Rhinolophus ferrumequinum: one gene and its partner. The protein of the gene in region 1 purifies or fractionates together with the protein of each later gene. This does not show direct contact. Links are inferred from orthologs where the notes say so. Each region holds a gene or a part of one and is shown on either strand. Other genes may lie near its edges.

Region 1 (9,220 bases):
TCTAACTGGAACAGCTAAACAGATTTGTGGGGCAAGGAAGACTTAGAGATCTTGTAATCTTGGGCAAGTTATTTAATCTCTGTGTATCATTTTCCTCATCTGTAAAATGGAGATAATAAAACCTACCTCAGTTTCTGTGAAAATTAAATGAGTTGACATGTAAAACACTTTAGTATGTGGCATGCTGTTACCATTAAACTGAGAACTGAAAGATGAGAAGTTAACCATTTAGAGAATGTTTCAGGAAGAGGGAACAATGCTCATGGTCCTTAGCATCTCTTCACAGCGAGGAAATCTCAACACAAGGCTTCAAAAGCTGGATGAGCTGCAGGAGTTCAGCGCCATCATTTTGGCTGCAGCTGGCCTGCAGCGCATGGGCTGGCAGAACCGGGTGGGGCAGGTAGGGGCTGCCCCTATTCCCTCCCCAGTTAATCTTTATCCCCTTCCTGCCTATGTGCTCTTCTTGAACACCCCGCCTCTAGTCTTTGGAAAACACTACAATCAAAATGAGTCCCAGGCTGGAAGACTGGGGATCAGAGGCCATCTTTTGCTTATCGAGGCTTTCTATATGATAGGGAAGCCCCATCTCACTGCTGTTCTTTTAGGTACTCTCATCTCTACCCTTCTGCCTATTCTGCCCCCACAGATCCTGCACCCTGAGGAATGCATGTATGCTGTGGGTCAGGTATGCTTGACCAGGAAGACGTGTTTATATACCCCTTTGTTCTCAACCAAGATGGTCACGCAACTGTCTGAGTCTGCATCTGCTTCCCCAGCATAAACGTTCCTAGGGAGGGGCAGGTCTTGGGAGGCTACTGTACCAAAAGGCCTTGGGGAGCAGGTGGAGTTGGGCTGGTTCCCATCCGTAGCTCCATTGGTTGGGGAAAGATTGGACTTGATGTCTTAGGCTGTTTTTCCACCAGGGAGCTCTGGGCGTGGAAGTCCGAGCCAAGGACAAGGACATCTTGGATCTGGTGGGTGTGTTGCATGATCCTGAGACTCTGCTTTGCTGCATTGCTGAACGGGCCTTCCTGAGGCACCTGGTAGGGCCTGTATTTCACCTGTGGAAGGGTGGGGAGTTGGGAATAGTGGGGAGATTTCTAAAATTCATGTTCTGAAATTAGTGGCAATTCATTCTTGAATATTGTGTATAGAGGACCCAAGTCTGGGTCCTTAGCCTCCTTTTCAGTCATGTCCTCATAGGCCTATGGATCCCTGAGGGCTCTCGTCACAGGGTAGTGTTAAGGGTCTTTGGAGCTCACCGGGAGAACTTCTCATTGCAGGAAGGAGGCTGCAGTGTGCCAGTAGCAGTGCATACAGCTATGAAGGATGGGCAAGTAAGCAGGGAACATGGGTGGGAGGGCAGGGAAGAAAGGACTATTGCATTTCTCCCTGTGCATCCTTGAGTTGCTAGCAAGAGCCCAGGTTTCTAAGCAGTTCCCTTTCAGAATATGCTAAGGCAAACCGTTTTCGTTCCCAGCTGTACCTGACTGGAGGAGTCTGGAGTCTGGATGGCTCAGATAGTATGCAAGAGACCATGCAGGCCACCATCAGAGTCCCTGTCCAGGTGCCAAGGCTGGAAAGTGAGGGAGGGTTAAGAAACAAGTCTGCCTTGAGACCTCTCCTTTTGTGCTCACCAAATCTTATGTTATCTCACCCAGCATGAAGATGGCCCCGAAGATGATCCACAGCTGGTGGGCATCACTGCCCAGAACATTCCACGAGTAGCTCAGCTAGCTGCTGAGAACCTGGGCATCAGCCTGGCCAACTTGTTGCTGAACAAAGGAGCCAAGAACATCCTGGACGTTGCCCGGCAGCTTAATGATGCCCACTAACTGGTTTGTGAGGCACAGGTGCCTGAGTTACTGCTCTCCAGTGCCTACAACCCAGCCCTCAGTGCCCCATTCTCACTAACTGGGGAATGATTACCCCAGGGGATTGAACTGCAGGGTCAGAGACTTGGAGGGACTGCCTTGCCTCATTAGGTAGGGGCTTCATCTCTTTAGAAAGATTCCAAGCCTTTGAATGTAACCAACTCTATTAATAAACCAGTTCTGAAGGTGGTTTTTTGTTTTTGTTGGGGTTGCAGGAAAGATAAGGACAAACACAACAGTTTACTCCTTATTTTCAAGGCTGGGACCTCTGTCCATAGTTCTGGAACACTCCTTTTTTCTGCCTCAATAGTTCTCATTTCAAACAGAATAAATGGTCTTCCAGAGAACACCAAAAGTGAACCTATAGCTTGCATCTCTCCAGTTAACCAGAGCCTTGTTACCAGGTAGCACACTCCCAACCCTACCCCCCTCAAGAGTCTACAGTCATCAGACCTTTGGCAAACACTTTGGGGCAAAATGAAAGTGACTCATTTTTTAAAACCAATCCTTTAATAAACAAAATTAGCCCATCTTAAAACTCCCCAATACCTAAGGTACTAGTGTTGGGTGGGTTGGTTCAATTCCAGTTCAGTTCAGGAGCCTCGGGCCCAGACCGGGGTTACTGTATTGTGCTGTTGGACTGGCGGGAGCAAAGCGGAGGATTAGCGAGGCCCGGCTGCCCCTCAGCGTCTGGGTTACACACAAGCCCTGCAGTCCACACAGCCCGTTCGGAAGCCCGGCAGGAGGCCTCGGCCCTCCCCCAGCCTCTCCCCGCAAGGCGCTCTTCTCTGGGGAAAGTGTGCACATTACGTCTGTCGTGGCCGCAACGCACAGGCCTAGTGAAGATGGAGGAAGCGGATTGGAAAAGCCCGGGATCTGGCAGGAAAGGGGGCGCCCTAACGAATTTAAGGATCAATGTTTCCCCCACCAGAGCCTGCAAGTCAACAGCCATGTCTGAGGTGGCGGCCCAAGCACCGAGCTGGAGCAGACGAGCGAGTAGTGCTGAGAGGCTCCGCCGGCGACTCACCTTCCGGGCGGCTCACCTCAGCCCTACGTCATAGGAGTAGGCCCGGCCTCCCAGAAAGTGCCGCGGCCTCACCGCTGGCCGTCAGCGACTCCGAGGGCAGGGTGGCTGAGTCACAGCGCCGGACACTCCCCGGGCCGAGCCGTCGCTCAACAGCCGCTCCCAGTCAGAGAACCCGAGCGGGCACCTGCGAGCCCGCGCGGGGTGGGGGGCAGCCAGCGGCAGCCGACCGCCGTGGCTCAGCTCTTTCCTTGAGGGTTGTGGTGGCCCTTAAAAGGGCCTTTGTGGTGGCACAGGGAGGGCCGGGAGGCCGGCGACGGCGCGGGCGCCCCTCAGTACTCCTGAGAGGCCTGAGTGGCCTTTTTGCCTCCCGCTGGCGCCTTCGGCCCCACGGAGGCGCTGGTTTTCTTGGGCAGCAGCACGGCCTGGATGTTAGGCAGGACGCCTCCCTGGGCAATCGTCACGCCACCCAGCAGCTTGTTGAGCTCCTCATCGTTGCGGATGGCCAGCTGCAGGTGGCGGGGGATGATGCGCGTCTTCTTGTTGTCGCGGGCCGCGTTGCCCGCCAGCTCTAGGATCTCTGCGGTGAGGTACTCGAGCACAGCCGCCAAGTACACCGGCGCGCCAGCTCCCACTCGCTCAGCATAGTGGCCCTTCCGCAGCAGCCGGTGTACGCGGCCCACGGGGAACTGGAGGCCAGCGCGCGACGAACGCGACTTGGCCTTGGCGCGGGCCTTGCCGCCGGTCTTGCCGCGGCCCGACATGTCGCTAGAGGTAGAGAAGTGATGAGGAAGAGCGCTTCGTAAACCACGGCACAGCCACCCACTGCAGTCTAACTGCTGGCGCGCACGGCCGGAAACCGCCCTTATAAGCCACCAGGGCACACCTCCGCGCCCTCCTGATTGGCTTCTTTCTCTAAAGCAGCCTCTGGTTGGTTGCAGTTAACCCTCCGGTGACGCGCCTCGGCTAAGGGAGCGCGCCAGCCGATTGGTCGAATTTGAAAACCGTTTGCCCGGGGAACGACGAGGAGGAGTGGTGGCCTTCAGCCAGCCAACTACTCCCTCACGTAGCCAATCCATGTGAAGCGCGCGAGATTTAAATCCTACACCCGCCGACCAAATCTTTAAAAGACAGTAGGTGGAAAAAGAAGCAAGCTGAAGCGCCTGTGGGAAATAGTGTGGGACTTGGGATTTTTAAAGGAAAGGGGTCAACGCTACAGCTACCTCTATCTTCCTTTCCGTGTGTGGTCACACCCTACTTTCTCCTCCTTTCTGGCCAAGGGAGAATGAAAAAGGGAAGAAATGAGACCCCCTGAAAGTTCAATCCCCTATCAGAGAACAGGTAACTCCAATCTTATGACCCTCCATGTCACTTGAAGTATCAGGATTTCAATATTTATTCAATATGTTCTGTCTGGTTGCAATATGTTCTTTCTGCTCACTTGCTAAAAGGGGCCTGGTGTACTGAAAGAAAAAGGATGGGGCAGAGAGACAGGCATCCTCTTGGAGGAGGTGCCTCCACCAACCCTCCCAATGTACTCTAAAATGCCCATATAGGAAACAGAGCTACAGGAACAAGAAAAAGACAACACTTTATTGTCACCACTGGGAGCACCTGCGCCCCCCAACCCTGTCTGCTTTTACTAATTAGAATACTTATAGTGAAATGTCATCTTTGAGCCTGTGTCCCTATCACCAGCCAAGGTTATATTATCCCCAGGCCCAACATAGTCCTTGACAGTCAGAGTTGTAGAAAACTGCATAACAAATGCAGCATCCCACCTTAGGGGGCTACAAAGACTGGATGGATAGGGAGAGTGGCAAGTTGAAGAAACCATTGGCAAAGTCCAATCAATAGTCACTAGAGGGCAAGAAAGGCCCAATTTGTCAATAATCACGGGGGAAACAAAATTCTAAGGAGAATGAAGGGTGGGAGAGGCCCGAGCCAAGAGGCAGTCTTGGTCTAGAATGAGGTCATCCTGAGTCAGGAACCCTGGAGACTGTGAAGTAAAAGGCAATGATCTGGAGACTCAGACATCATAGAAGAGTCGGACAAGCTGGTACCGAATAGAGAATGTGACAGCACTTCCCAGGATCTGCAAGGAAAAATGGACTAGAGTAAGAACCATGGAGAAAAGGAGACAAGGAGGAGTAAACCCTATGCCAAACCGCACCTGTAGCAGCAGCAGGAGCAGTGTGAGGTTTCTCTCGTGCATGGGCCCAAAAACCTTAAGTAGCAAGTTGATGAGGGTCATGTTGTTACACTCGGTGAAGGGACCATCCTCATTCTCACTCTGGCGCACTGTCACTAGCTGGAGGCTTCCTGCTACCTGGAAGGGCCGGAAGTGATGAGTACATCAGCTAATACCTATGCTTCAGGAATGGGGATCTGCTTAATGCTTCCAAACTCCCCTTGGATCTGATGCAGGCCTAGGTTCCCCGTTCCCTGAATTTAGGATGGTGGCCTAAAGCCTTACCTCCTTATTCCCGTTACCTTTAGAATAAAGGTGCCCAAGAAAGAGAGGCTCTTGGTCTTGAACTTGGAATAGCTCATCTCCAGTTTGCCTGTGTTGGTATTGAGTCTGCAGGGGCAAGAGAGTTTTATGTGACTGGGCCACTACTTAATGAACTCTCTTCAGTGTGGTTATTTAATAGGAAGAAGAATGAAATATGGAGTCAAACAACTCGAGATCTATTTCTGGCTCTGCTGCTTACTATTGTGTGATCAGAATTGCTGTGAACATTAAATGAGATTATGTAAGTGAATGTGCTCTGTAATTTATAAAGGGCTAACCACAGGGAAACAGCCCTTTTTGGGGTCCTCCCTTTGCACAGCAAATGTATAAGGCTGGCTTTATGAATCTCAAGTGAAAAAGCTATAATGTCCCTTTCAAACCCCAAAGCAGCTACCTGGGCACACGGTGGCGAGGGCAGGGGATGATATGCAGGAGTTGAGGCAGTGAGTAGAGGAAGTTGAACACCTGGGGCATGAAGAAGAGTAGCATGGTCTTGCTGAAGTGTCCCAAGATGCCCACCACGGCAAAGGTCATGCCAGCAAAGTAACAGAAGGTATCTCCCACAAACACCCGTGATGGGTACCTGTGTGGGAGAGAGGATCTGAGCCAGTGGCAAGAGGCATTACCAAATCTTTCACATAACACACCCTGGGCACTCGGCTAGCCCTGACCCTAGTTCTGGCTCAGAGGAGACTCCAATCAGCTCTCCCAGCAATTCTCTGGAACCCAGGGTCCTGAATTCATCTATTCTTAGGGAACCACAGCACTTGTCACCAACCACTGCTGAGTAGACAGAAATTTAAGAATACTACCAACTGAAGACCCAGAAAACACAACCTGGGTATGCACAGATTTAGCCTCTCCATCAGGAGATGGGTCATGATCAGGACCATACTTGCCACATGTTCAAATAGTTGTCCCCCTATCCACAGGCCTACTTACCAGTTATGGTAGAGCAATCCCAAGGTGGTGAAAAAAAAGGGTATCATGAAGTAGAGGGAAAAGACATGATCATCCCGACAATCACCTTTGGAAGCGGGGGAAAAAGAAAGAAGGAAAAACTGATAGCCACTTCCTCTGTATACCCTGATCCTATTTTTGTCTGCCTCTAAGTTATGTCCCAATCTGTATTGTCCACCTCTCCCAAGTCACATTCAAGAACTCACAACCCCTTTTATGTCACCCAGGTAATTCTCAACGTTGTACCTCTTTCATGAACCCTTTCTAAACTAGTTATTGTCTTAAACTGGTTTAGATTGTTCAGACCTAAGTTTGAACACGAGCTTTACTGCCAGTGTGACCTTGATCAAGACACATTACTTCTCTAAGCTTCAATTTCATCTGTAAAATTCTGTAAAATACAGTTGATAACACCTGCTACACAGAACTGTTACAAAGTTTAAATGAGATGTCTGAAAAGAACTTAGCTTTTTTTTTTTTTTAATTTTTATTGGGCAATATTGGGGAACAGTGTGTTTTTCCAGGACCCATCAGCTCCAAGTCAAATTGTTGTTTTCAATCTAGTTGTGGAAGGCACAGCTCACTGGCCCATGTGGGACTCGAACCAGCGACCTTGGTATTATGAGCACTGCGCTCTTAACCAACAGAGCCAACCGGCCTCCGTGAAAAAGCACTTAGCTTTAATAAACACTTATTGATGTCCAAAACCACTAGAAACACACCTGTAATCAAAGCTGGGTTTGATTTTAACAAGGGAAACTAGAAACCACATACCATGTAGAACCATGGGATGCCTCATAATGATATGTTACGAGGACTTTTATAGGATTTGTTTTAAGTAATTCTGAGGAGGCTATAAGGAGGCAGAGTTTTGCCCCTGGACTGGATGCTGTCAACAGGAGTAATTCTATATTAAGCATCTTAATTTTTATTTAAGTTGGAAGAACTGAGTTGTTAGAAGGAAGGAGCAATCATTCATGTTAGCCAGAAGAGGGGGATCTTGGTCATTTTTGTGGGGTGCTCTGTGTTCTTGTGGTTTTGTTTATGCTCAGACATAGTTATGGAGAGGTCTGGTTTTCATCTTACTGTATCATGGTCACAGAGGTTGGGAGTTCTGTGAAATTGTTTATGTTTGATAGGAGAAGATCATGGCCTACATATTAATGCCAATCTAGCTATAAATGACAGGGCTGCTGTTTTTCTCACATTTAATAAATCTTATTTGTTATTTGCAAAGTTAATACCTTTACACATCTTCTATAGTTATTAACATATTGCTTTTTTTCTGAATTTCCCAAAGCCAGATATCAAGCAATTCGCTTAACACTCAGACTTCTCTCTCTCCCTACCCTCAATCCCACCTACCTTCCAGCTCTACCAGGTTGAAGATGATGATGGAAGCAGAAATGACTAGTGACTGGCCAGCCTCTAGGCCATTAATTCCTGCTAGGATATTGATGGCATTGGTACAGAACACTGCCAGCAGCCCCATGTAGACATAGTACAGGATCCCTGAGGAGAGAAGACAGTAAGGAAAGAAGTAAGGCCACCCACAGAATGAGGATTTAAGGATATTCTTTTGAGAAAAGTATTGAGGACAGAGGGCCAACAGAAAAGATCTGAGAAGACACAGGGACAAAACGGGGACATGGAGGAGAATACAGAGAGCCAGGAAGGATGCTTTGCTGGATATCTCAAGGTGTACTGGTACCCTGAAGTAGGGAACATAGAGGCAGTAGTGACAGGGCTACTCACCCAAATCCAAATGCAGGCCAAGAATCGGACGGAAGGGCTTGGGTACCACAATGGTCGTGTTGCCGAAGTTGGTGAAATAGACCATAAGGAGTGGTAGTGAGGCAGCTGTGGGCAGCAGCAGTTTATGGCGCCAGCGTAGATTCAGTACATCATCCGCGAAGCCCAGGAAAATCATGCAGCAGATGGCAAGGAGCGCACCTATCAGGGCCACAAACTGGGGGAGGCTCCGGCAAGTCATGGCTCAAGCCTAAGCCCACTTCACCATTCCTTTCCAGAATTTCTGTCTTTTCATTCCTCCCTCAGCCCCTCCACCCAAACCCAAATAACCCTCTCTTTCAGGCAACTACCAATCCCCAGACATAGGCAACCGCCCCCAGTAACCCACTTACTTCATGGTGGGGGAAGGCTTTACATTGCTCCTCCACAAAGCAGTTCAGGAAAGGGAAAGGGATGAAGCAGAAGAGGATGATTAGGAAAACAGCACCGCTGATAACTCCCTGGGACTCTGGGCTGTGGCCCAGCAGCAAGTGGGGCGAAGGGGAAAGAGGAAAGGGGGACGTGGTCACGCACTAGTGCAAGCATTATAGTAATCTAATCTTAGGTTGCTGAAGTCCCTGATACACCCGAGAGTTCCCCCTCTCCCGCCCACCCCTTCTCAAAGGCTAACCAGTTCTGCTCTTCACCTCCCAAGGGACTGTCTGCAGGATTGGCGCTGCATCTCCGCGTGCAGTCAAGCACCCCAGTCCTAGCCCCAGCCCTTGTCCCCTGCCCGGGATCCGTGTGCCACCGCTCACATCTGCTGCCGGCCGGATTTGTTGAGGTCCTGACCACAGAGGTGCGCGGCGATGAAGTGGCCACGGAATGCAGGGATGAGGATGAGTGTGGCCACAAATCCCAGCAGAGAACCGATCAAATTCACCAGCAGCGGCATCGACAACTCCGGGAAGGCCCACATGGTGACCGGCCAGGAGGCCCCCTCCGCCTCCTCAGCTAACGCCTAAGGAGGGCAGAAACCCTGAGCCCGCCGCAGTAAAGAGTGGCCGCTCCACACACCAGCCTGAGCAAAACCCAACAACTCTTGACTAAAGCTGC
Region 2 (11,332 bases), on another chromosome or scaffold:
CACCCAGCATAAACAAACAAAAAACCCACAATTGATTCAAGTGGAATATATACGACATGTTTGGAAAACGACTTCATAACCATTAAGTGTTGTAGCTTTTCCCTGGAGCACAGGAGAACCCAAGCAAGAGTGCTTTTGAAATCCAAACTGATGTACAGCATAACAATTTAAGTCAAGGGAACTCCCTTTAAAACCAATACAAAATCCTCATAAATCATCATTGCTCAGTTATGTAACCTTGAGTCAATTCTTTACTCTGGACCTCAGTTTCCTCATTAGAATGTTCATAGTATCTACCTCCAGGAGCACTGGATCAGTTAATAATATACGTAGAATAATTTTAAATATTGCCTGAATAACCACCCAGTAAGTGCCATTACATTATCCACCCATTGTTCTCTTCTGTATCTTCTTTATCTTAGAAATTAATCCAATAAAAATCAAAACATACAAAGGTTCTGAACAAATAAAAATGTATCAAACTATGTAGCAGTAAAAGGCAGAGTTGATAACCACAAGTATACAGACTATTACCTTCAGTGGCAATCCCAATAATGTGACCTAGTGGTCTACTGTCAATGTACTAAACAATTTAAAAGGATGAATAACAACAGCAACTCACCTTCTAACTCCTACTCTGCACAAGGAAAGAACATATTCAAATGAAATCAGTATGAATGGGACTTAACATCACCATTGTTAACAGGTTCCTTCATGTAAAGAATGTTATATATGCCAAATAGGTACTAAAATATTTACTCAAAGAATCAACTAAGAACACAAGTAATTACAGATTTGATTAGACTTGAAGGATCTCAATAGATGATTAGTGTTCTAAATTGATCAGGATTCATTCCCTCTAATTCTACCTTTCATTAATATTCCAAAGTCACAACCAAGCAAACAAAGAACAAAATAAGCAAAATAGCATTTTGACATTGTTAAACAGAATACCACAAGTCCAAAATGGCATCACTCATGCTAAAAGCCCATGATACCAACCTAGATTTAATATCTGATCTAACTGCAGTTTTAACTCTCCCAGAAACATAATCTATCAGGAATTTTCTAGTCAACACCAATGAGGTAATTTGTCACATGGACCCTCTGCCCCCACCCCATAGAAAGAGGCAACTGCATGATAAAAACACCCCTGCAGAAAACAATCCTTTCTTTTCTTTTGTTAATAGCAATCCTGCCCTACTCTTCTTACTATAAAAACCTTTCATTGGCTACAAACCCTCAAAGGGCCTTTCTGGTTGCTGGATGGGAAGTTGTCCATCACTTAAAAAAGCCAATTACATCTTCAAATTTACTCAATTTTGTTTAACATCTTCAGTACCTTGAAGCTGAACAGATTCTGCCTCTTTTAGCCCCCTTTCCTACAAAAGACTGTATATTTAACAAATTTTGGGATGTTTAGAATCAAATCAGTCAAGTGGATACTATGGGCAAGTCAAGTAAATAATGAAACAAGCAACAGCATTTTGGATTAAATTAGTTCTGGTGCAAATGGTTATTTTTTCATTTTGTTTTTTCAGTCTCTAGAGGACAAAGACAGTCAAACACCACATTTAGTATTAGCTTAATAACGTTCTCTGTTAATAGACCCAACATCAAAAATAGATACTTTGCAACACATAAAATTTATCGATTTTCAAACAGGTATAGTGAATTTTTAAAAACTATTTACAAAATCAACGTAACATTGACCTGAAAAGACAATGAAGTCAAGCTTTTTATATTACATGTCCAAACAGACCTACCAATGTTTAATTTCACCTACCCTCTATCTTTCTTAAAAAGTGAATCGCACATTTTAGATTTGGCGCATTTGAACTCGGACAACTTTGAACAAGCATTTGAGACTTAGTACTCCCAGATCACTGTAAACCTCTTTTACCTCCTATCAATTTTAAATAAGTTAATCTACATACAACAGGTTTTCAATTATCATGGTTTCATTCAATGTCAAAGTTGATTAGATACTCTGACAACTTAACCCTTGTTGATAACCATTAGCCTTTCCTAACACTGGTTTCCTTATACATCGTTTCGCTTAAAGTCAAAGAACCTATCCATGACATTGAGGATTTACAGTATAAAGTTTTCCCCTTATTCAAAGATAATGTGGGGCAGGCCCGGTGGCTCAGGCGGTTAGAGCTCCATGCTCCTAACTCCGACAGCTGCCGGTTCGATTCCCACATGGGCCAGTGGGCTCTCAACCACAAGGTTGCCAGTTCAATTCCTCGAGTCCCACAAGGGATGGTGGGCAGCGCCCGCTGCAACTAAGATTGAACACGGCACCTTGAGCTGAGCTGCCGCTGAGCTCCCGGATGGCTCCGTTGGAGCGCGTCTTCTCAACCACAAGGTTGCCAGTTCGACTCCCGCAAGGGATGGTGGACTGTGCCACCTGCCACTAGAAATAAATGGCAACTGGACCTGGAGCTGAGCTGCACCCTCCACAACTAAGAATGAAAGGGCAACACCTTGAAGCTGAACAGCACCCTACACAAGTAAGATTGAAAGGACAACTTGACTTGGGAAAAAAAAAAAAGGCCTGAAGTACACTGTCCCCAATAGTCTGTTCCCCTTCCCCAATAAAAATCCTTAAAAAAAAAAAGAGAATGTATATTATTTCCTAAGTAAAATAAATGTAGAAGTAGTATTAATTCAAGTTGACAAGAAAATAAGACCTAAATACTAATTTGAAACGCTATTTTGATGCTAAATTCAAAAATGGCAAATTTCGTTTTAAAGCTCAGCTCTCCACAAACCAGGCAAGCGGTGTTTTCATTACAAAAGTAACTAATCAGACAGTGATGGTCTAAAATACGGGTTCCTTGAGGACATCCTGCACTCAGTTCATTTTTTGTACTGAAACCCTAGCATTCCCAGATAGGACTCCCTTTCCCACCCCCCTTCACTGCCTTCTTTCTTAAGGAAAAAGTGGGGTCACTGATAAGGCAGCAGGTTACAAACTTGGATCAATAAGTTTACATTAACTATTCATTCCATTCCCTAGTTTCTCCACCATACCCCACTCATCTTAAAAGAGCGAGTATCTCATTCTGGGAACTACAATAAAGGAACAAATTTATAAGAAAATATTAGTCCTTGAAAAATTAAAGACATTGCAGACTAAATCCTCTAGCATTGCCATCTTAGAACCATTTAGAGGATTACACTGATTAGGATCAATTCTCCCCGAATAAAAAAGCCTGGTAGAGACACCCATCCAAATTCTAACTGGGCTTGAGCTACACAAAAAATCTTTTGTTAAGAACAACTAACATTAGCATTAATTCTTTTAAACATCTAGCACTGATGGCCCTGCTTCATTATCCATCACCTAACATTCGTACTTTCCTCCAGAACCAATAAAAAGGTGAAGACCAAAGAGAAGCAGGGATGAGTCTGAAACCCAGGGGCTGAACCTATGGGCTCACTATTCCTTTTCACATCCCACCGTCTCTACAACTTTCAGTAAGGACAACAGACACAGGGGTCGCCAACCTGTCCTAGGCGGCGGCCACGTGTCGAAGGAAGCCGCCGGGGTTTCCCCGCCCAGCACGGTCGCCGCCTCCAATGGGCGGAGAGCCCCAGAGCCTCGCAGCCTCCCCGCCCCCTCCCTGCCTCGGGGCCTCGTCCCTTCACAGCCCCTCCCTCCCATCGGAATTCGCAGCCTCCACCTTTCTTTCCATTCCCCAGCGGCCTCTCTCCGGGTACTAGTTTTGAGAAAGCTGGGACAGCGAGGCGGCAGGAAACTAGGCACTCGCGCCCGGCCCGCACCCCGGGAGCCTCCCGGCCCCTAGCGGCGCGGCCGTCGCCTCTTCGGGGCGCCTTGGGCGACGCCGCGGCCTCGCCCCCGTCCGCGCGTAGAGGCCGGTGGAGCTCAGGGCACCTCGGCGCAGACTGGCACGGCCCCCGACCCTCCCGGGCCGACCAACCCCCCGCATCTTCTTAGCCCGTTCCCGGAAAATGCGCCGGCCGATCCCAGCGGCCTCGCAGGCTACGGGGTCGAAACTCCGCGGACGGCTCCGGCTCTGACCTCTTAGGACGAGCCGAGAGGCCCGGAGCGGCCAGCAGCCGCTGCTCTCGGTTCCGTCCCCCATCCCCCCGTCCCTCCCCTCCGCGCCGGCCAGCCGGCCGACATTACGTTCCTCCTTCCCTTTCAGGCCCCCATCCGTTACCGGTGGCCAGCACGGGGAACCAGGCGGCCGGAGCTGCGCAGACAGTGACTCAGGGAAGCGGCGGGAGGAGCAGGAGGCGGCGCCGCGAGCAGATGGCGCTAAAAAAGACCCGAGAGCCCGCTGCTCGCGCTCATATACAATTAGCGTCAGCACGTAGGGCCCGCTCAGCCGCCCTCCCCCGGCCTCGCCGTCTCCTAGCAACGTGAGCGGGAGGCGGGCCTAGGGCGGGTTGCATAGCAACAGAACTGTCCTTCTTCCCTGGCGACCTCCAACCCTCTGCGCCTTGCTTAGGTTCCTTGGGTTCCTGCCGCCGCCCCCTACTACGTACCCGCCAACTCTTCCCCCACCTCACCTTGAAAGGAAATCTCAACCCCTCCCGCTCTGGGAAGGGCCCTGACCCGGGCGCCTGGACCGGTCCACCTCGCCCGCCTAAGTGTGGTGCAGGGAGGGATGAAGGTTGGGGCCAGCCGCCCCGTGTGGGCTTGCCGCATCCTTAGGGCGAGTGCTCTTTAGTTTCCGTCCTCTTCCCAACCTAATTCCTGCAACTCCCCTTCCTCGTAACCATTTTCTCTCCCTGCCCACTTTTTCCCTTTGGCGGAGTCTTCTACCGGTTTTGCTTCTCCTCACTCAGTGGACCTCCATGGCTTCCTGGGGTGCTCCTCATTCTTACTCCAACATCCTTTTACTTGACGTGCGATCCCTCATTTCCGCTTTAGTTCTTTTGACGGATGTTTTATGGCATGTTTGTGTATTCTCCGGATCCTTTATAATGAGGACAGTCGTTTCATATTCCTGAAAAAGGAAACCCTATGTAAATCCTCAGGACTGTGAAATTGCTTGGCTAGTTTTCAACTGATGCAGGATTGACCAATATCCACTTTAATAATGACTAATATTAAAATAGTGGTTCTCAAAGTGTGGTCCGAGGATTCTCGGACTCTTTCACAGGTGAAAGTCAAAAGTATTTCCTAATATTTACTAAAGCGTCATTTGCCTTTTGCACGCTCATTCTCTCACAGTGCAGTTTTCCAGAGGCTACATGACATGTGATATGGAAACATGGAAAACAGAAGCAACTATTAGGATCCAGCCATCTGCTGTTAAACCAGAGAGAGATTTGCAAAAATATAAAACAATGCCATTCTAACTTTTTGTGTTTTAAAAAATAGTTACTTTGGTCAAACCATGGTCTTGGCGCCAATTCAATGACAACAGGAACCCCCAATTTGTGGTAAACTACATATAGCTCAATCCTAATACAGCATAGCTATAGAGCTGTTTAATTATGTACGAAATAGCAGGACTGTGAGGCTGCCTGAGCAGAGTCCCCTCTCTAATAGATAGCTCTGTTCTCCTCTGCTTCTCCCAGGTCCACAAGCCTCTTCAGTATTTCAGGTCCAGCCAGCGAAGCACAATCTTTAATGGAAAGGAAAAGTGCTCTCTCTGAGCCACTGGGGAGCTGACTTATACAGAGAGAGGTACCCACTCCTGGTCCCCGATTGGACCATCTTCATGCAAATGAGGACTTCAGATCCTCACAGTTTGATTGGTCCAAAAAGCACTGTCCTCTTTGGTTAAAAGGGAGCAGCTCTGATTGGTCAGTGACATACATTCGCTTATAGAGTTGTACAGCTTTGATTGGATGGGGAAAGTCTCAATCCTATTGGTTGAAATGGGATTCCAGAAACTCCTTTAAAAGGGTTGATATTTATCATATGCTATGAGGCAGGCGGGAGGCAAACGGCTTAATGTGGGAGCGAGGCAGCTTAGTACAGGGTTTTTCTTGAAGCATATGAGAGAAATATTTAGAAAATGGTTGCGAAACTCTGGTTTTAAATTTGAGCCCTTCTTAGTGGGTATCTTCTGTTTTGGGGTCAACGTTTCTCGTATAAAATATTCTTTATGTTAACATTTAATTGGCTTATTGTTTTTAAATAAGATAATGAATAACAACTCTTAAAATCTACTCTTAAAACTTCTTAATTTTAATTCTAATATGACAAATATCAGTAATGCACATAAAAGTTCTTTGTAATCCTCAGTTTTTTAAAACTGTAAAGGGGTCCTGAGACCAAAAAATTTGAGAACCTCTTCTCTAAATGTTTCGTCCCTTGAAACTTCAAACTGCCTGGAGTCATCTTTTGTAATCCTCACTCCCATATCTCATTGAAATGCATTGCCTTTCCCACTCCATGCGACAGGTGCTCAGTTTATCCATTCATTTTTGTTCTTCATGTGTGATTCTTTTGTATTTCTCAACCTTATTTCTTCATGTACGTCATACTTGACAATGATGTAAGGCTAACAAGGATTATAATAACATCAGTGATGATTCCTCATGAAGAATCCACAAAACATAAACTAGGTAGGCCAGTGTCCAATATGTACATACACTTGGCACTAATTTCAGTGGAGGCCTCAAGAGCGCTCTGCATTTTATTCAAAGCTATACATAATGCAAGATAATCAACATATTAAAAATGAACTAAATAGCTTTCTCCTTTCCATAAACCTTTTCAGTGGTAGAACTAATGAGACTGAATTGAGAAGTTAGCTTTCATGATGGTTTCTGTCCCACTCCAGGGACCCCCACAAATTTCAGGCACTGACCAAAGTCTCCAAATTTCTGACGTTTCAACCCCCACTCCCATATTTAAGGGCTTATCATTACCAGTTTATATACATTATTTCCCCCTTTTCTACAGCACCCTTCTCCAGCTCTTTCCTCCAGCTTCCTCCTCCCTTTCTTTTAAGGTGTCCTAGCTAACCTAAAAGTGAAATACTAATAAAGTGCTAATAATGCATATCTTTTAATGTGATCTTTTCAATCATAGTTTGTAAGTCTAAACCTTGGCTACTTAAGTCCAGGGAAGGCCAATCATTTATACATTCATTCAACAAATAGTTATATGTTGGAAACAACTTGAGACACTGGAAATACAGTATTGAACAAGATAGACAAGGTTCTTGATTTTATTGAACTTACGTTCCAGTGAGGTGGGGCAAGTGACAAACGAGAAATGAAATAATTGTAGATATTAGTAAGTGAAAGTGCTATGAAGAAAATAAAATGAGACAAAGGGGTAGAAGATGACTGACCTAAAGAAACCATTGAGATTTGCACGTTGACCCCTCAAGTCACACAATATAGCTAACTCATCTAATTACTATAAATTGTGGCCCTGGTCACTGACCTTGGACCATGCTAAACTTCCGGTTAAACTTCCTTTTTGCTTCATCTCCCATTATTTTCAGTTGGTAGATTTTTATAGCATTGTAAAAGCCTGGTGGTTTAGAAGTGTGGCTCTTTGGGAGTCAAACAGCCCAAGTTTTGTCCCTATTTTGTTGTGAAATTTTAAGCAATGTGTAAATTGCTTAGCATGGTACCTGACATTTAGTAAACACGCAACAAAAGTTAAACATCATAAACCTCTTACATCGTAAACTTTTGTTTTTGTTTTAATTAATGGTTGGAGAAACTTCCCGTAAGTCTTCTAATAGTATCTAACACATTTTTGTGAAATATTTTATCAAAAGCTATCTTGTCACAAATTTTGAAACATGTTTTCCTGAGCTGAAATGATCCACACTGATTATCACAAAAGTACAATATCCCATATTTCTAAGTACTGAATACAGACACTGTAGAGATCAACCAGATAAGACAGTGACAGAGATGATATTTTAAGTGTGCCTGTGTCTGTATTTCAGCCCCTAAGTAGTAGGAAATACATAGGCTTGAAAGTCAGACAGGCGTAGATTCAACCAAATCTCTGACCTCCCACATGTATCTGTACACTCTGACCCTTAGGTTTTCCCCATCTGTAAAGTGCTTTAATAATTCTTTTTTTTTTTTTCCTTTTTAACAGGATCAATTTACTTTATTTTTCTTGTATAAATTATGTGGCGGCCACAGCTGGAGCCTGGGTTCTCTACACAGAATCTCTGGTGTGGGTCTTTACAAGATGGTCCGTGAAGGGAGACTTGATGAACACAGTCTCTGTCCAGAGGTCAGGGGTGAAAGAGCTGCAGGTCTTTGACTTATCAAAGGTGGCCTTGGAGAAGTTGCCCAGCATGGTAGTGCAGCCCCTGGCTGAGGTAGAACAGTTGACAATATGAGCCATCATCAACAGCTTCTTGGGCACAGGAGCTGAGAGATGCCAGTGCCTCTGGGGGCAGGGATGAGGTGCACAGCACAGAGCCACAGCTGCAGGTCACCTTACAAAGGACAGTGTGGGGCTTGCCCATCTTGTTCCCCGGTAGACTCGCTGCACAGAAACAACGGAGAGCTTGGCCAGGATGATGGCCCCACGGATGACAGGGGCTACCTCCTTGGAGCACTTAACACCCAAACCCACATGTCCTTTGTAGTCCCGGATGGCGGACAAATGCCTTGAACTGGGGCCTCTGGTGTGCACAGGTCTGCTTTTGCACCGGCATTATCTTCAAAACCTCGTTCTTGAGGGACGTCCCCAGGAAAAAAAAATCAATGACTTCAGATTCCTTGATGGGCAGGGAGAGCTGGACAGAGACTTGATCTCCAGGTCCTTCACCAGGCGGCCCAGCTTGGTGATGACGATCCACTCCTGGTCCTCAGCCTTGCCTTTGCAAGCTCACCCACATCCCGCACGACCTTGGCCAGGGACCCCGCTGCCAAATCGTCCAGGGCCCCTCCCCCACCACACCCCAGGCTCCTGGGCCCTCCTGGTGCACCGGTGTCATCTGTCATTTGGTGTTTTCTCAGAGAAGTAATAGTTCTTCTAATAACACCTGCCTCTTCATTAGCATGAAACAGAGAAATATATGTGAGCCCTCAGATCATTGACCTGCACTTGAAGTACACAATAAATGTTTATTTTTTCCCTTCTCAATTAATCAGTATGTAAAATGTCTAATGGCACCAATAATAATCTAAAACTGTACAAGTCACATTTAAATAACTGTTTTCTTAGTTTTGAATCTGGTTGGTTTTAATTTTTTTCCAATTGTTAATATAAATGCAATATAAAATCAATCTAAATTCCAGTGGAGAATTGTGGACAAGTTGCCTTAAATTCTTCCCTCTACATCTGAAAGGAAAAGGGAGGAGGAATTAATAGAAAATATTTTTATTTTGCTATCATTTCAATTGAAACTTTTATTGAAATGATTGTAAAGCCATACGCAATTGCACAGAACAACACACAGAGATCGTGTAAACTTTACCCAGTTTACGACAATGGTACAAACAATCCATAATCTTATTGAGACTTCCCCAGTTTCACTTGGATCCACTTAAGTGGGCCTGTATATTTAGTTCTTCTGCACAATGTTATCGCATGCGTAGTTTGTGTGTCACCACAAGCGAGATACAGAACAGTTCTATCAACACCACAAGGATCCCTGAAGTTGCCCTTTTATGATGATTGGGGTTTGTTTTCCTAATTTACATGCCAAATATAGGCCTACCTTCCCAGATTTACTTTTTCCCTTTGTTTCTCACAAATAGACCACTTAGGCAGAAAATAGGCGATTCCTTAGTGTGCGTTTTCAATATTTCTTACCTGAACTGTGTGCAATAGCCTTGCCATTAATTTCCCTAATATCTTATTCCTCTCTGGTCTACATTGCCAAAGCTATGGTTCTAAAATACAAGTCTAATCAAATCCACTTTGTCATAAAACGTTCAATGGCACTTTATGTCTACATAACAAAATAAGGCCTCCAAAGCCCAGTCCAATCGGAAGGCATCCTACTTTTCTAGCATACTCCCCACTATCCATACTCATGAACCCCATACTTTATGACTTTGAACTACTCACCAGACTCTCCTCATGCCAAGCGTTTTTATGCTTTCTGTGCTTCCCTTCTACTTGTCCTTCAACTTCTAGTTCAAATTTTTATCTTCTCTGGGGAACCTTTCCTAACTCACAAAAGCATATCTGGCTGCACACGCTTGTCTATTCTTTTTTGTATGTATGTTTGTTCCCATGTTTCCTTCTCCTTCAACACACACTATCCTAGATTGTTAGCTGCTACAGGGCAGTGTCCTTGTTTTTGTATACCCCCGGCTTGGACAGTGACCGGCAAGGCAAAGCCTTCAATAAATAATTGTTTGAGAGAACGAAATAAAAGGAAGAAAGCAAGAGAGGGAGAAAGAGAAAGAGAAGTCATAATGCTTAAAAATAAATCAGACGTCATCATGCTTTATTAAATAATCCTTTGTTGAAGACAACTGTATCAATTCTATATTTATCATAGAGTCTATGTTTCATAGAGAAATGTTTCCATAGAGAAAATTTCACAATCTACTCTATGCAAGATAGTATTTGGATATGGTTTGGATATTATTTGGATATTATTATTTTTCCTCATCTATGAAACAACTTGCTGATAAAAAGAAAGGAAAGAAATATTAAAATCCTTGAGATCGTAATGACTGGAGACAATAAATCACATGATAGTGTTTGGAGACAATTGGAGGGTCTGTTATTGGGAGAATTGATAGTGAAATGCAGTGGATGTATACCAAAAAGTACTATGCAGCAGAAACATTGATTGTAATACACAACAGGGATGATCTACAAAATGCAGTGCTTGCAACATATCACCACAATTAGATATCATTATACACTCATTTGAATTGCTCAAATTAAAACAAACAAACAAAAATCCTGACGGTACGAAATGCTGATAAAGATGTAGAATGACAGGAACTCTCATTCATTGCTGGTATGAAAGCAAAATGGTACAGTCATTTGGAAGATAGTTTGGCAATATCTTATAAAGTTAAATATAGTACCTTACCATACGACCCAGGTATCTCACTCCTGGGTATTTACCCAAATGAACTGAAAACTTATACACACACACACACACACACACACACACACACACACACACCTGGAGGTGAATATTTCTAATTGCCAAAAACCAGAAGCAACGAAGATGTCTTTCCACAGGTGAATAGATAAACAGTGGAAAAATGGAATACTGCTCATAAATAAAAAGGAACAAACTACCAATTCACTCAACACAGATTAATCTCAAATACATTTTTGCTAAGTGAAAAAAGCCAGTTTCAAAAAGATATATATTATATAATTCTATTTATATGTCGTATGAAAAAGGCAAAAATATAGTAATGGAAAACATATCAG

What was found. The genes of interacting proteins can lie anywhere in the genome.
Region 2: the proteins of histone H2AX (region 1) and NAP1L1 purify together in Homo sapiens (affinity purification with mass spectrometry; 3 studies listed by BioGRID and IntAct, counting the BioPlex papers as one, with this or other methods). This does not show direct contact. The link is inferred for Rhinolophus ferrumequinum from reciprocal best matches to the Homo sapiens genes H2AX and NAP1L1.

What each region holds. Positions count from the first base shown.
Region 1 is NC_046294.1:88,352,362-88,361,581, forward strand, and holds histone H2AX, read right to left. Parts: upstream 3,754-9,220; 5' UTR 3,663-3,753; coding exon 3,231-3,662; 3' UTR 2,511-3,230; downstream 1-2,510. Other genes in the region: HMBS (porphobilinogen deaminase), read left to right, coding at 287-400, 647-685, 924-1,043, 1,284-1,337, 1,481-1,567, 1,662-1,835; DPAGT1 (UDP-N-acetylglucosamine--dolichyl-phosphate N-acetylglucosaminephosphotransferase), read right to left, coding at 4,928-4,993, 5,072-5,227, 5,392-5,479, 5,808-5,996, 6,356-6,440, 7,739-7,885, 8,129-8,342, 8,518-8,638 and 1 more. UniProt on the Homo sapiens protein: Variant histone H2A which replaces conventional H2A in a subset of nucleosomes. Nucleosomes wrap and compact DNA into chromatin, limiting DNA accessibility to the cellular machineries which require DNA as a template.
Region 2 is NC_046293.1:70,493,781-70,505,112, forward strand, and holds the start of NAP1L1 (nucleosome assembly protein 1-like 1), read right to left. Parts: upstream 4,348-11,332; 5' UTR 4,194-4,347; intron 1-4,193. UniProt on the Homo sapiens protein: Histone chaperone that plays a role in the nuclear import of H2A-H2B and nucleosome assembly.